2 linked regions of the Alligator mississippiensis genome follow. The protein of the gene in region 1 purifies or fractionates together with the protein of each later gene. This does not show direct contact. Links are inferred from orthologs where the notes say so. Each region holds a gene or a part of one and is shown in the gene's direction. Other genes may lie near its edges.

Region 1 (8,050 bases):
TGGGCTTAAAAAGTGTCAGACAGAAGAGGCTAGTGGTCTGCTGAGGAAAATGACAAACACCAAGAAAAATTAGTCCTGAAATACATTGGAAAACAGTCACCGACAAAAATTAGTACCAAGCAGTGCAGAAATATGTACTACAGGCAAAGGGAAGGAATGGTTAAAGATAGTATTGCCTCAATTCTGAGAAACTGGAGATTGAAGAGGCGCATTCTGCAGTGGAGAATTTATTTGCTGACCACACCTAAGACATAACTGATAGGAACATTAGATGCCACAAGACAGTGGCCTCAGTGGCCTTGTTTAGTTTGCCTGCTACCTCACTCCTGTTACCATAGCTTTCATGCATGACGAATGTGGAAATGCTTTTGGATTTCAAATATTATCAATGTTATAAATATAAAACCAGTTAGAAAAAAAATAGATTACAGCGGTGGTACATACTGTGATTTTAGGCTTTCTAAAAAAAAATAGTAATCCATTGAAAGGTATCATTGACAGCAGGGGATTAACAATATTCAGTATCTTGTGGGGGTGGTTTCTGTTAGGAGAAGAAAATGAAGATAGAGCCACAGTGATTTAGATGCAATCCTGCTTATTTACAAATAAGGTATGCAACTTCCTGTTTCCTTGAAAACAGTACCTTTTCTCAGGGATGTGTTATAAATTGTTATCTGAATGTTTGTATTTCTTTGCTGCATTATCTTTTTTGCCTCTGATGTTTCTCCTGCCATTGTTTCTTAGTTAACCTTTTTTTCCTTTCCCCACTGTCTCCCCTCCTATTATATCCACCTGTTTCTATGAGGTTTCACTCAACTCCCAGCATAATGTCACTCCTTTCCATGCTTTCTTTTGCTCCCTATTCATAATTTCTTTTTATTCTTTTCTCATTCAGTTCCTTCTCACTTTCTGTGCTGCTTACCTCTTCATAAATGCTCAGACTCCTTTCCCACCCCTCCCAAAATAGTATACAGTTTTGCCTCAAACCCCCAAATTCACTCAGTGGCTCTCACTCACTATCACACAAACACCTTTCTCTCAAATATGGTAAATGCCAAGCCCATGAAAATTCCCTAAAAACTTGTTGGTACATGCAGCCTCTACCCCCACCCCAACCTTGCAAAACTGTTCACACACACACACCCACACACACAGAGAGGCAGGTTCCCCCAAAACTTAGTCCACATGTGACATACTCCATTGGCTTAGCCCACAGAGTTTATATGCATTCTCACTTATTAAAGCAAACAGGCTTCTCTCCTTCCCCAGTTCTTTCATATTATTTCCCCTGGTCATTAGCAATCCCTTTATTTGAGGATCTCTACCACTGCCCACTAATGGGTCTTGAGATGACTTAGGAGTCCAGTCCTTGAGCCATTTATCTGTCCACAGAAGTTACAAGTCCTTCTGTGGGGGAGAACAGGCTGTAGACTAGGATTTCTCTCCTTGTCCTTCCTCCACTTTCTGTTCTCTGGTTTGGGGGTTAGATGCTTTACCTTGAAGATGTCTGCTACTTGGTTAAAGTGGGACTGCTTGGCCTGCTGGCAGCTGCTCCCCCAGCTGCGGGAGACACGGGCAGACTCCACTGGAAAAAAAAAGGATCGGACTCCTTCAGGCACCTGCTGAAAGCAGAAGTGGCCAGGGACCCAATTCTTTTTTTCTGTGGAGCCTGCTCGCCTCTCCTGCAGCAGGTGGGGGGGGGGGGGGGGCAGGGGAGCTGACAGCTGGAACGCAACTACATCTGGATGTAGTTTACTTTACAATGATGCAAACCCCAAAACTGGTGCACATATAATATGTGACACCATTAAGCCACACAAATGACATTTTCGTCATGTGTACAAGCGCCTTAATATATCATTATGGGACAGGGAATATTCTCCCAATATTTACTAGCCTAAGGATATTCAGCGTGAGATTTGCAAAAACCAAAGACTGTTATGTGCCCAATCTGACTTCTGAGGGAACTGGTACTCTGACTCACATAGGAACTAGGGCTTGTCTATGAGAAAGTTATACTGGCTTAACCTAAGGTGTAAACAGAAACCAGTTTGGTTAACTGGGTGCAAACCCAAGCATGTGAACCTTGTTTTGGTTTGAGTTGTTTTTGTCCCCCCTTCCTGTCAGATTGGTGTACTTTGACTTTGTTCCTTATTGATTTCAAATGTCACTCAAACAAAATAATTGTCCATGAAGATAGTTGTACCAGTGCAACCTAATCAGTTTTAAACCTGATTTAAGTTAAAGTGGTACAAATTTCCCCATGCAGACTAGACTTAAGTTTATCAGGTGTGGTGAAGAAAAAAGGCAGTGTTGCAACATCTACAGCAATTTAAAGGAATAAAATAGTTGTGTATTTTATTATATTCTGCATATATTTATGTATATTACCATTCCATTCGATATATTTAGAAATATAACTTATTGCATTTCTCTCACTTCCATTCCATTTTTTCTTTCATCCATTCTGCTTTTTCTCCTTTTTCTTACAGTAGGTCACTAATGGTGGATCATAGTATCATAGTACTTAGGGTTGGAAGGGACCTAAACAGATCATCAGGTCCGACCCCCTGCCCTGGGCAGGAATGGGTGCAGGGATCATATCACCCCAGACAAATATCTGTCCAGCCCACTCTTGAAGACCCCCAAGGTAGGAGAGAGTACCACCTCACTTGGGAGCCCATTCCAGATCCTGGCAGCTCTAACTGTAAAGTAATGTCTCCTGATATCCAGCCTGAACCTTCTCTCTAACAAATTGTGGTCATTATTCCTAGTAACCCCATGTAGTGCCTGGGGGAACAGAGCCTCCCCCAATTCCCACTGATGCCTAGAAGTAGAGGTACAGACATGAACAAGTGTATACATGCGCACATTCCTTTCTCTTTCCTTCCCCACAACTTAATCAGGTTCTCCAAGTGTAAAACTTGGGACTCTTGAAAGCATATCCCACACCAAAACCCTTCTAGGGGTAAGAAAAGGGTTCTTGCTCTTTCTTGGTACCCTCACTTCCTAATGAGAAAATGTGAAACCCTGCAGTAAAAAGCAGAACAAATTCAGTAAGTTCCTAATGTTGACACCTGTTTTCTCCCAGTGACATAGAAAAGAATCATAGAAATCATAGAAAAGTTGGGCTGGCAGCGATGTTCAGGGGTCATCTAGTCCAAACCCCTGCCTAAGGTGGAATCATCTCATGTCAAACCATCCTATACAATCCATAATCTAAACTCTATATAAGACTGCTATCAACCCTGATACAGCAGACCTAACACCCTAACCTGCCACAGGTAAAGCAGGGGAACAATGACAGCCAATGCCCTGCTTCTGTGAATGATGATGTCAATATATGCTCAAGAGATCCTAGGTAGAGGGCCCCTCCCTCCAACAGACAGAGACAAAAACCCCTACAATCTTACCACAGGGTGAAATTCCTTCCTGCCCCCAAATCTGATGACTGGTCTGACCCTAAGCGTAGGGGCAAAACTCTCTAGCCAGGGACCGTTCATCCCAGCAGGAGCACTGGCACACCCCAGTCAATGTTCCCGGCCTTCTTTTTACCTCTCCCCCTGCAGATACTTTCCATCTACCTCTTACCTGCCTGTCTTATACATGGACCTAATCTATGCTATCAAGTCTTGCTGGCAGAACTCCTGCATACACAAGGTTCCCCAGTAGCAGCAGAAACCTCCACTTCTGCTGCATAGATCTTCCCGCACTCTCTGCTGGTGTTGTTCACCTTTTCAACCCATGACTCCTATCCATGCCCATTTCCCCTACCTCTGCTGCTTCCTCTGGTTTCCCCCAGTGAAGGGCCATTGCCACCTGATTTTCGCCAGACTAACACCTTCTTCTCCTCTCACTCTTCCTACACCTCAGACATCTCCTTCATCCAGCCAAGGTTTCTCCATCCTACTTCATCCTCCCAGGCCCAACAACTCTGTGAAAACTCCCCAGCTTAGATGCCTCCTCTTCCCAGTGAGGAAATTTTAGGATCACTAGGAAAAACTTCACAGTCAGGGTGTCCAGATTGTGGAATAAGCTCCCTCCAGAGGTGGTGTGATCACCTACCCTGGAAATCTTCAAGAGGACACTAGACAGTCACCTTGCTGGGGTCACCTGACCCCCAGTTACCTTTCCTGCTTGGGGCAGGACCTGATGATCTTCCAAGATCCCTTCAATTTAAGAAAATCTGCCCTCCCCTGCACCATAGCCCCTGCTCCACCCCACCCAAACGAGGTCATCCCCTTCTCAGCTCAAGGCCCTGTGTGTCCAGAGGCGAGTCCAGGCTCCTCATCCCCAGCATGGCAAGGACCTGCCTACACAAAGAGGCCTTCTGGGGCTACCATGCTGTGGATAACCAGCATGGAGAACACAGCCCTTTGCTCCTCCTGCCGTGTGTGTGAGCATGTGTGACAGTGTGAGAGTGCGTGTGCATGACTATGAGAGCATGTGAGCCTGTGTGACAGCCAGTGTGCATGTAAGCATGTGTTACAGTGAAAGCATGAGAGGGCATGTGTGTGTGGCCACAACAGTTGAGTGTGTGCATGTGCGTGACTGAGAACGTGATTGTGCATGTGACTGTATGGGAAAGCGTGTGACAGTGTGCATGAGTGTGAGTACGTATTTGTGACAGTGTGGGAGTGTATAAGTGTGTGCGCACTGCAGCCCAGCCCACTTCAGCGCCGGTGCGAGCAAGTGCCCGTGCAGCCCGCGCCGCTGGAGGCTGGGCGTGAAAAGGGTCTCCCCTGCCCCCCCCCGCTCCCAGCGGCCTGCAGCACCCGCCCAGCGCCCGCCAAGTTATACCACCACGTGACAGCCGGGCCAAAGGGGGGGGAACTGCGAGGGAACACCAGCAGTTACCAGGGCGACCAAGCCCCGCCTTCACCCCATTCCCTCCCTTCCTACGTCAGCGCGGTCTGCCCTCCCCTCCTAGCATAGACCGAGTCAGGGGCGGGGCCCTGGGCGGTGTGATTGACAGTCTCCATAGCAACAGGCTCGTCCCGTCGCCATTTTGTCAGTTGGCTTTTTTTTTTTTTTTTTCTTTTTTTGAAATCCTTCCCCTTTCCCGCCCGAACCGCCGGTTCCAACACTGGGGGAAAAAAAGGATTCGGTGCGTGACGGGGCGCGCGCATCCCACGCGCGGGGGGGATTGGCTGTGTATGTGTGTGTGTCAGCAGGGAGGTTCGAGGCGGGCGAGTGCGTGGGCCTGGAGGAGCAGCCGGCTCAGCTCGGCTTGGTGGGGGGAGGGGGAGGAGCGCGGCGCGCGCGTGCGGGGAGGGGGGAGCGAGCGAGGAGTTCCCGGGGCTCCGCCCCGCCCCGCCCGCCAACCGCCCCGGCTCGGGAGGGGGAGGGGAAGGGGACACCCCGTAGCCGTTGCCGCCGTTGCTGCCGCCGGCCGCTGCGCAGGTTGGGAGCGCGCGCCATTTTGTGAAGCCATCGACAAATCCGCCCGGTCGGGCAGCGCCGCGGATCCGCCCGCCGGGCCCCGCGCCGCCCCGCCCCGCGGCCGGCCGGCCCGGGCTGCGGGACCGCGGGCAGGCGCTGCAGGGCCCAGGCGGCGCCAAACCCACTCCCGCCGCCGCCGCCTGAGTGACGAGGCCCTGGCCCCGGCCCCGAGCGCCGCCGCCCGCGCACGGTAAGTGCCGCCGGCCGAGGCCCCGCTGCCATCTTAGAGCGGGGAGCTTGGGCACGGCCTGCAGCCGTGCGGAAGAGGAGGGGGCTGCCCGGCCCTGGGCAGCGGCACCGGCACCTGTTGCGGTGGCGGGACCCGGCTCCAGGCCGATGGGCTGTTCGCCCCCGTGAGGACGGGGTTCCCTGGTGAGGCCGGGCACAGCATCGCCCACCTGTTCCCCGCGCCCTCCTCCCGGCCCTGCCCGGCCCGGCCCGGCCCGGTTCCTCCAGCCCCGCAGTCCGCCGTGGGGGGGGTGCTCTGGGCTTCTTATCAACTTGCGAGTTGCCCCTGGATTGTTTGATGAAGGGTGTTGAAGGTTTGGCCCTCCTGCTGTTCCCCAGCCATCAGAGTGCTATGTTTTTATGCTTTTAAGATAAGGAACATAAAAAATTGTCACCCCCAACAAATCAGCAAGCTTCGTGTATTTCTTCACAGCAGCTTCCCCCCCCCCCGCGATAATGTGCTATTATTTATGGCCAGTACTGTATATATTTTTGCAAGAGGGGGCAGTCAGTGTCAAGCGGGGAGCATGCCAAGGTCTTGGAGGAGCAAACTTTGACACACTGTCGCTAAGGTGGCAACTTCTCAGTGGCCTTGCCTGCTTCCCTGAGAATGAGTGCTGGGGAGGACACCTGGGTGATGCCTGATGTCAAAACTGGTGCATTTTGTTTGTGGTCATAGTTAATAACCTTAAACATTAGTGAAAGCTGTTTAACTCATCACAAATGAGAATGGCGTAGCCCTCCTGACACGTTTGGCCAAAACTCCCCCCCCCCCCCCCCCCCCCCCCCCAAAAAAAAAAGATATAATTGAAATAATTATACTGTTCGGGAGTAAAGTTTTGTAAGTAATCCTGCATGTACCCATCTCGCGTTCAAATAGTTACTTGTCGATTGCTATTCTGGATATATTTAGTGAAACACATAAATAAATAGATTACTTTGTAGACTAGTGTCATCAACTCATAAAAATGAAGTATTTAAAGTCAAGGCGTGCGTTCATTTATTTGAAGTTTACATGTGTGATGTGTTAGATTTATGTTTTCATTCCATTTCAGTTTTTTGATACTTCTCTAGCAACAAATGTTCAAGGCTTTATGCAATCTGTGCATGGGTCTTGACAGTTATTTTTAATAAAAAATTGTTCCATGTTTGAAGTTAAATGAGAGCTGTTGCTTTTCTACCCTTCCAAATGAGATGGTTCCCTAATTTAAGTTTTCTAAATGTTTTTTTTTTTTAAATAAAAGTGCTTTGGTATTTGTTTCTAGGTGTCAGAAGTATGGCAGAATTATAGTTACTAAATCAGGGTTTGCATAGGTCTAGACTAGGTTGCCTTGAGATCCTTTAAAGGGTGCCACAGGGTACGATACAATGTTAGCTTAGTTGTGTGCTGGCATGATTCACAAGATAAACCCATAGATTTCAAATAGGAATCCATAACGGTAAAGCTGTTGTGGTCTTTCTGAGTTCTTTGCATCCAAAGACTTGCTACAAAAAAAAAAAAAAGAGTGAAACCTAGGAGTTGGGATTTTCTGAGGGGTGCCCTCAAAAGGTTTAGAACCAGTGGCTCAGGCCTTAACATCTTGGCTTTGCCATTGTGGACAGCTGTAGGGAAAGAGGAGCAAGAGCAGTTTTCTGAAATAGCGAAAAAAAGATTTCTCTGCTTGCTACGTGTGCTCCAAAAGAACTCCAGTTTACAACTGGTATTTCATTTTTGGTGTGAAGGCAGTGATGTAGTAGTGCCTGAGCATGTACCCATTTTTAGAGTGCTGTGGGCTTTATCTATAATAGGGTTTAATATATGAGGTTAATTGATGCATTCTAGCTGTTATTTTAATATCCTATGCAAGGCATATAGGACATGCTACCTTCACTATCTGGATGAAAGTTTTTAAAAGTTAGCCCGTGTTTGCTAACACATTCTGATAGCACACGTTAAAACCTTACTTTAGACAAGGCCTTAGCAAGAAACTTGTGACTGAGTTGAAAACATATACTACTTTTGTCCACAGATGATTCATCTGAGGACAGAAGTAGTGTATGTTTTCAGCCTCATTAGTTTAACAGGGTACTTTTTAATATAGAGGCTAACACATTTGCTTAGCTGTTTCTGTTGCCCACAGCACAACCAGCAAACGTAGGGGCGTATTAAACTTAGCTGAAAAGCATGCCCCTTTTCCTTTATAGCATACATACATTATTCTGAACAGAAATGGGTGGCGCATTCAAAGCTAAAATGTTCAGAAAACCAACTATGCTGCTATAGTTTAGGTAATGTCTTCAGTTTCCCTTCAGAAACTCTTTATTTTGAGGTGTTCATAATGTCATACTGAAAGTTGTGCTACCAGCTTAAGTTTGGAAGCAAGTATGACACTTAAAATAC
Region 2 (7,846 bases), about 120 Mb from region 1:
CTTTCTGTTCTGAAAAATACAGATGGAAAGAAACTGCTCCAATTGTACTAAAGCATAAGCAAAAAGCTTTAACTCTTCAAAAAGTTTAGTCAATCCCTAATCTCCAATCTTTTACATTTCCAGACCCTTTTTTCTCTCCCAACAAGTACAGTAAATGGAAATGGTACTGCATTTGACCATTGCTAGCCATTCAATTCATATTTACAAGACATGATCATTTTTTGTATTATATTTAGTAATTTTCAAAAGGCATTAGTTGTAGCAGAATGTAGCAGAATGTAGCAGTATGTTTTGTCAAGGGCCATGCCAGTCAAACAATGCCAATAAAATTAACTTAAAAATAAATTTACATTATGATTTGTTACACAGTCCCCAAAGGTTACTGTAAATTATCTTTGTCTAAGCAAGAAGTTAGATTGGAAAGTTTCATTTTAATACTAATTCCTGAGAACCTTTTATTTTTATTTTATTTATCTGTCTTATGAATAGCAGCAACTACGAGGAAAGTGTTTAACAAATAACACTTAGCATTAATTCAAAACTTTTTGTTCATAATTAATTACAAACATTATTCAGCATCCAGTGAATTTCCACAACAGACTTGTGAATCATTTGTATTCCCTTTTAACAGTTGCCTACAACCCTGAGAGCATGTCTCTGTGGCTTTAAACATTCTTCCCCCTTGAACACCAGGAAGGATTTTGCTCCAGTGCAAAGAGACTGAGGCTTTCTCAAAATCTCATCATTTTTACAAGCATGTCCCTGAACTGTCAATTGATTGTCCACAAACCACACACACACATTAAGATGCACTGAATGTTTTGTAACTCAGCAGTGGCAGTCCCTCAATATGAGGATGATGGTCTTCCATTAGATAGGAAAGTCACTGATGAGTCTGGAAATGACTGAAGAGGCCAATTCAAGATCTGTATGTTCAACTACAGACACAGCAAATTGTTTCAGGGAAAAGTAGTGAGTCCTGGTGATGTCAAGTCACAAATCTTTCCCATTGTCTCTCTTGCTTAACCACCTCCATAGTGAAGCAAGTTTGCTTGAATACTTGATGCCTTTTCCTATTTCATGGTGCCACTGGGGACAATTCAGCGCTCAAGTCTCCCAGGTTTGGATGTTACTATCATGTTTCTTCAGATTGGCCTTCAAGGTGTCCTGGAATCTCATCATTTGCCCATTTCTAGACTATTGGCAAGTTGCAATTTCGGGAGCCAGTTGTCAGGCATCATTATAACATGTCCCACCCAGTGAAGCTGGTACCTTATACACCCAGGTCTGATGCTGTTGGTATTTGTGTAAGCCAGAACCGTGGTGTTCATTCTTCCACCCTTCCAACTGACATGGAGAATGTATTGTAGCTCGTGACAATCGAAGGCTTTCAGGTGTTTCCAGCTGAGAAGTTCAGTTCTATTTCTCCTTTATTAACTAAGTTTACAGCAGTGTGGGGTGGGGACGGTCTCAAGGATCCCCTCACCACCTACTTCCCCACTTTCCTGTGCCCACTGGATCTCCCTTCCAGCCCTACTCCTCTATGATTCTATAATGGAAGAGGCCAGCTCCTGCCTGGTGGCTGAAGTGGACAAACCAGGACTGCAGACATGTCAGGCGCTGCTAAAACATTAGGGAAGAGTCTGCCTCAGGCAGGGGGAGTTGCACTAGACCAGCATTTCTCAACCCATGGGTTGTGACCCAGAAGCACATCACAAGAATATATGAAAGGGTCACATACAAACTTTCAAAACTGAGCAACAAACTTTAACAATGGATTCTCCTTTAAAGGAGAAAAACGTGGGAAACTGTGGCTTTTCCCTCGCAGGCTGGCAGAGTTCCAGTCTCCAAGGGGCTGCTTATACCACACACAAACCCCTTGCCCCACACACCCTCCCCTGCCCCACACACTGTGGGGCTGAGGCCTGGGGGCAGTGGGCAGTGGGTTGGGAGTGATGGGCTCCCAACCTACTGCCCAGTATGGGTCAGGACTAGCCATCAATGTTTACAAATGGGTCCTGATACAGCCGGCCATGAGCCGTCCCTGATGGTTTACACCCCAGGGTACTCAAGCAGCTGGCAAGCATCATAGCTCAGCCCCTGGCACGGATCTTTGAGAACTCCTGGCGCTCTGGTGTAGTGCCCGAAGACTGAAAGAAGGCCAATGTGGTGCCTATCTTCAAGAAAAGGAGGAAAGTAGATCCAGCAAACTACAGGCCCATCAGCCTGACCTCTATCCTGGGGCAGGTCTTGGACAAGATTATCAAAGAAGCCATCCTTAACAGACTAGCTGACTGCAATATCCTGAGGAATACCCAGCACTGGTTTGTTGTGGGTAGGTCTTGCTAGACCAATCTCATTTCCTTTTATGACCAGGTGACCTATCACCTGGACAAGGGGGAAGAGATTGATGTTGTATATCTTGACTTTAAAAAAGCCTTCAATCTGGTATCCCATGATCACCTCTTGGCAAAACTGGCTAACTGTGGCCTTGACCTCACCACGATCCGCTGGCTGGGGAATTGGCTCCGCGGCAGGACCCAGAGGGTGGTGGTTGACGGAAGGCAATCGTCTTGGTGCGCGGTCACCAGTGGGGTCCCTCAAGGCTCTGTCCTAGGGCCTTTAATTTTTAACAACTTCATCAATGATGTGGACATTGGTGTCAGAAGCGGACTGGCCAAGTTTGTTGATGACACCAAACTCTGGGGTAAAGCATCCACACCTGAGGACAGGAGGGTGATCCAGGCAGATCTTGACAGGCTCAGGAAATGGGTGGAGGAGAACCTGATGGTGTTCAACACCGAAAAATGCAAGGTTCTCCACCTTGGGAGGAAAAACCTGCAGCATGCTTATAGGTTCAGCAGTGCTACGCTGGTTAGCACTACAGATGAAGGGGACTTGGGAGTCATGACTGACCACAATATGAACATGAGCCTTCAATGCGATGCTGTGGCTAGTAAAGCAAGCAAAACACTGGCTTGCATCCATCAATGCTTCTCAAGCAAATCCCTGGATGTCATTCTCCTGTTGTACTCGGCCTTGGTGAGGCCACAGCTGGAGTACTGCATCCAGTTTTGGGCTCCACAATTCAAAGGATGTGGCGAAGCTTGAGAGAGTCCTAAGAAGAGCCACGCACATGATCAGAGGTCAGGAAACAGACCTTATGACGACAGGCTGAGAGCCATGGGACTTTTCAGCCTGGAAAACCACAGGCTCAGGGGTGATCTGGTGGCCACCTCTAAGTTTATCAGGGGTGCTCATCAGGATCTGGGGAAATGTCTGTTCACTAGAGCGCCCCAAGGGATGACAAGATCAAACAGTCACAAACTCAGCTGTGACTGATTCAGGCTGGACATAAGGAAGAACTTCTTTACTGTCCGAGCCCCCAAGGTTTGGAACAGACTGCCGCTGGAGGCAGTTCAAGCACCCACGTTGAATGATTTCAAGACACATTTGGTTGCTTATCTTGCTGGGATCCTATGATTCCTGCTGACTTCCGGCCCCTGGGGCAGGGGGCTAGATTCGATGATCCTCTGGGGTCCCCTCCAGCCCAAATATCTATGAAATCTATGAAAAAAGGTTGAGAACCATTGCACTAGATGACTTGTGGAGTCCTTTTCAGCCCTCCTTCTGAGCTATGTAAGGAGAACCTATAGGATTATTTAGTGACTTTAGCAAGGGTTTTGATACCATCTCCTACAACATTCTCTCAGGCAAGCTAAGGAAGTACAGGTTGGATTAATGCACTGCAAGGTGAACAGAAAACTGCCTGGATTGTTGGGCTTAGAGGGTAGTAATCAATGGCTCAATGTCTAGTTGACAGCCAGTATCAAGTGGAGTGCCCCAGGGGTCGGTCCTGGGGCTGGTTTTGTTCAATATCTTGATCAACTACCTAGAAGACGGCATAGAGTGCACGCTCAGCAAATTTGCAGATGACACCAGGATGGAGGGAGAAGTAGATACACTGGATGACAGGGCTAGGATTCATAGTGACCTACACAAATTGGAGGACTGGGCCAAAAGAAATCTCATGAGGTCCTGCACTTAAGACAGAACAATCCCATGTACTGTTACAGTCTGGGGACTGACTGGCTAAGCAATAGTTTTGCAGAAAAGGACCTGGGGGTTAAAGGTCTGTCTGTCTAGCTAATCACATGGGGTGCTTCTACACATGTGCTTTAATGCACATTAGCCTATTTTAATGTACATTAAAGCATCACAAAAATGTGCTCTTTAGCTAATGTGCATTTAAACAGGCTAAGGCACCTTTTCTAGTACCTCGCAGAGGAGGGCATTTTTACATGTGCTGTGGGATGTGGTGCCAGGCACTTTAGTTAGCAAGCTGCGCTTATTAAAAGTGCCCGCGTGTCACGTGTATCAGCATCTCCGCGCTGAAAAAATGGTGGCAGTGTGCTTTGAACTAATGCTCATCAAACATGTTTTATTTCAAAGTGCCCTTGCTGTCACTTTGTCAGCGCAGAGATGCGCTGGGACACTAGTACAGGTGATGTGGAAGGCTGCTAGAACACCTCAGTTTCTGTGTTCCAGCAGTCTACTCCCATACATTGGATGTCCAGCAGGCTGTTCGCACTTGTATAGCAGCCTCGAAGCACAAGATTTAATGCTGGTTACCTAAAGTGCATTACAGCACAAGTGTCGATGTGGTTCTACACACACACACACTAATGGGGAGCGGGGTAGGGGGGTAGAAGGGGAGCAGAGAGTCACACACGCACACACTCTCTCTCTCTCTCTTTCACTCGCGCCGCAGGGGAGCACAGGGCCTGGGCAGGCAGACGCGCGTGTGCAGGCGGCGCACGGAGCGGCCGAAAGGGCGCGCAGAGGGGGCCGGCCGTGGCCGGGTGCCTGGCGGGGCAGGGAGCGGCGGAGGAGGCGGGCCGGCCCCGGCGCCAGGCGGGAGGAGCAGCCACGTGGGCCGCCGCGGTCGGGCCATGCTGCCGCGGGCGGGCTGGGGCCTGCGGGCGCTGCGGGGCGCCTGCTCCGGGCCGGGCCCTGCTGCGGCCCCGGGCGGCGCGGCCTCTCCCCGCGCGGCGGCGCGGCGCCGGGCCCTGTGCTCCCTGCAGCGGCTCCAGGAGCCGGTGCCGGGCGCGGGCGGGCCCGGGGCGCCGGGCGGGGAGCGGCCCCTGCAGGCCGGGGAGCTGGTGCTGGCGGAGCTGCGCAGGAGGCGGCACGGGGAGTTCAGGCGCATGTGCCAGCTGACGGCGCTGGGCCGGCTGAATAGCTGCTGGGGGGTGGTGGAGCACGGCCGCATCCTGGGCAAGCTGCCCGGGCAAATGGTGGCCACGTCCCAGGGCGTGCCCCTGCTGGTGCGCCGCCCGGCGCTGGACGAGTTCGTGCTGCTCATGAAGAGGGGACCCACCATCTCCTATCCCAAGGTGAGGGGCTTGGGCCAGGCTGGGCGCAGCTGGGGCGCAAAAGCAGGTTGCAAAGAGCCTCCGAGGGCTGGAGGCCGTTCACACCCCGGGCCCTGAGGTCTTTTTGGGGGTGCCAGCATGGGTCGGCATGCGCATGCCATGCATGGGAGCACCTCGGAGCTGTTGGATAGGCAGCACCATCCCTAGACTCCTGGCGGTCCCGGGCAGACTCTTAGTATTTGACTCTTAGTATTGGCCCCCCTTCACCAAAGATAATGATAATCGAAAGATTTCCATTTTCAGGCCCCGTTTCTGTCCAGGCCCCAGGCAGTGTTCACCCATGACTGTGTCTGGCCCCGTGAATAGGAACCAGAGTGTGCAAACCATCCTGCCCCGCGTTCTTTGCCAGAGGAGCAGTGCTCTGTTACTTCATCGTCGTCAGGAAACCCAGTGAAAATTGGCCTTTGCTTAACTAGATGCCCTTCCAGTAGGGTTGCCAACCCTCCAGGATTGCCCCGGAGTCTGCAGGAATGAGATGTAAATCTCCGGGAGACTGCCTAGAGTCGCCCAGGAGAGAAATAATAGGGCGTTCACTAAAATGAATATGTTGAATCCAATTTATATAGTGGTGCAGTGGATTTTTAAAGTGTGATAGTAACGAGCGTTTGTCTTCTTGATGTAAAATCCGCTCACCGTAATCCGTAACTGGTACATGCAAGGACGTGGCATGTTCACATTGTGTGTCATGGGAGTGCTGTGTTTGTGGACACCTCTGGGAATAGATTCAGATAGAGCTGGCCACCCTGCATTCCAGCCCGGGGAGCTGGTGGTGCTAGCACAACTCCACAGGAAAACCGACTGGCAGTTCAGGCATTTGTGCTACCCAAGGGCCGTTGGGAGACTGAACAGCAGTGTGGCCTTGGTTCTGAGGAGGGTGCTTCTAGTCTTAAAAAAAAGGCTGAGAACTGCCAGTGTACAGTTTCCCTCAAAAAAAAAACTCTGGAGTTGCTTTAGAGCTGCATTTTCAACACCGGCAGGTCACATTCACCTGCTACCATAATTTTTGGTCGATGGTACTGCCTGCAACTGATGGACACCCAGTGCTGAAATAGCCTGGCACCCTATAGGATGCCAGTGGTTTCGGGCAGAAGGGCAGTTTAGAGGTGGGTACTAGTCTTACTCCTGGCAGGGGAAATGTCACCAAAAGCTTGTGAAACTGGGGCCCACTCCATGGTCAGGGTAGTAGACTGGGCTCTCCGTGAACAGAGAATTAGTAAAATTTACAGTTGGGCGTTTATTTCTGATTATCTGTCTATAGATATAACAATATATTATTTAGCTGCAACCAACAGGCAAATGACCAGCAGGCTCCTTTGGCATGCCAGGCAGTCCTTGTTTGAAATCTTTTCATATTAGAAGTACATGTCCTCTCTGTAATAGAACCTCACTGCTAATTTGGAATATTCCAGCATTTTAAATGTAGGGAAACATCAGTAGAGTTTACTTTCAGGTTGCTTCTTTCACGCTGAAACAAAAGGCACGCAGTGGTTTGGGAGGGAAGGAAGAGGGGAGACATATTTTTATTTTCACCACCACAATTTGCCATTTGCTTTATTAGATTGAGGAGTACTATTCACATAAAAATAAATTCTGTCTTTATGGCCTAGATCACCGTTTCTCAACCTGTGGGTCACAACCCAAAAGTGGGTTGCAAGAATATTTCAAAGGGTCACAAGTTGCAGCAGGGCAGAGGGATGGTGGGAAGGCACCTGCCCCTTCCAGCGGGGGAAAGGGGCAGGGGAGAGCTGCATGGCTGGGCTGGCAGCACTGGGGGACACCAGTATGGCCCTGGGGAGACAAGGGACTGGGGGTTGGGCACTGGCAGGGCCAGGGCGGTGTGGGTCGGAACAGGCCATGGATCTTTGAAAATGGTCCCAGTAGGAAAAAGGTTGAGAACCACTGGCCTAGATCACTGGGTTTTTGTAATCATAAAGATGTTACATGATGTAAAGAAGTAGTCTAACAACTCAGTGTTCGAAGAAACAGTATAAGACCTTGGTTTCTCAACTTAATTGTTTTTACCCATAGGATATTAATGCAATGCTGCTGATGATGGACATCCATCCAGGGGACACCGTGTTGGAAAGTGGTTCTGGGTCTGGTGCAATGAGTTTGTTTTTATCAAGAGCAGGTAAAAAAATCTGTGTGTCAGCAAATCTGGGAGTGTATTTATTACAGAAGCAATATAAACAATTCCAGTATAAGAAGTGGTACTTTTTCATTAATAGGAGCCTGAAGTTACTAGCTTGCTTGTTTTTAGCATTTTAAGATTCATACCTATTATTTATATAGTCTGAAATTCAGAGGGCTACCATATACCCTGTAAACCATTTAAACTGTATTTTGAAGACTTAAATCTTGCACAGGCCTTGTGCTAACCCTCTGGACAGGACTGGATTTCACTCAATTTT

What was found. The genes of interacting proteins can lie anywhere in the genome.
Region 2: the proteins of DYRK1A (region 1) and TRMT61B purify together in Homo sapiens (affinity purification with mass spectrometry, with the first as the bait; 3 studies listed by BioGRID). This does not show direct contact. The link is inferred for Alligator mississippiensis from reciprocal best matches to the Homo sapiens genes DYRK1A and TRMT61B.

What each region holds. Positions count from the first base shown.
Region 1 is NC_081824.1:295,213,425-295,221,474, forward strand, and holds the start of DYRK1A (dual specificity tyrosine-phosphorylation-regulated kinase 1A), read left to right. Parts: upstream 1-5,023; 5' UTR 5,024-5,107; intron 5,108-5,365; exon of another isoform or gene 5,366-5,632; intron 5,633-8,050. UniProt on the Homo sapiens protein: Dual-specificity kinase which possesses both serine/threonine and tyrosine kinase activities. Exhibits a substrate preference for proline at position P+1 and arginine at position P-3.
Region 2 is NC_081824.1:176,251,710-176,259,555, reverse strand, and holds the start of TRMT61B (tRNA (adenine(58)-N(1))-methyltransferase, mitochondrial), read left to right. Parts: upstream 1-4,843; 5' UTR 4,844-4,952; coding exon 4,953-5,396; intron 5,397-7,463; coding exon 7,464-7,566; intron 7,567-7,846.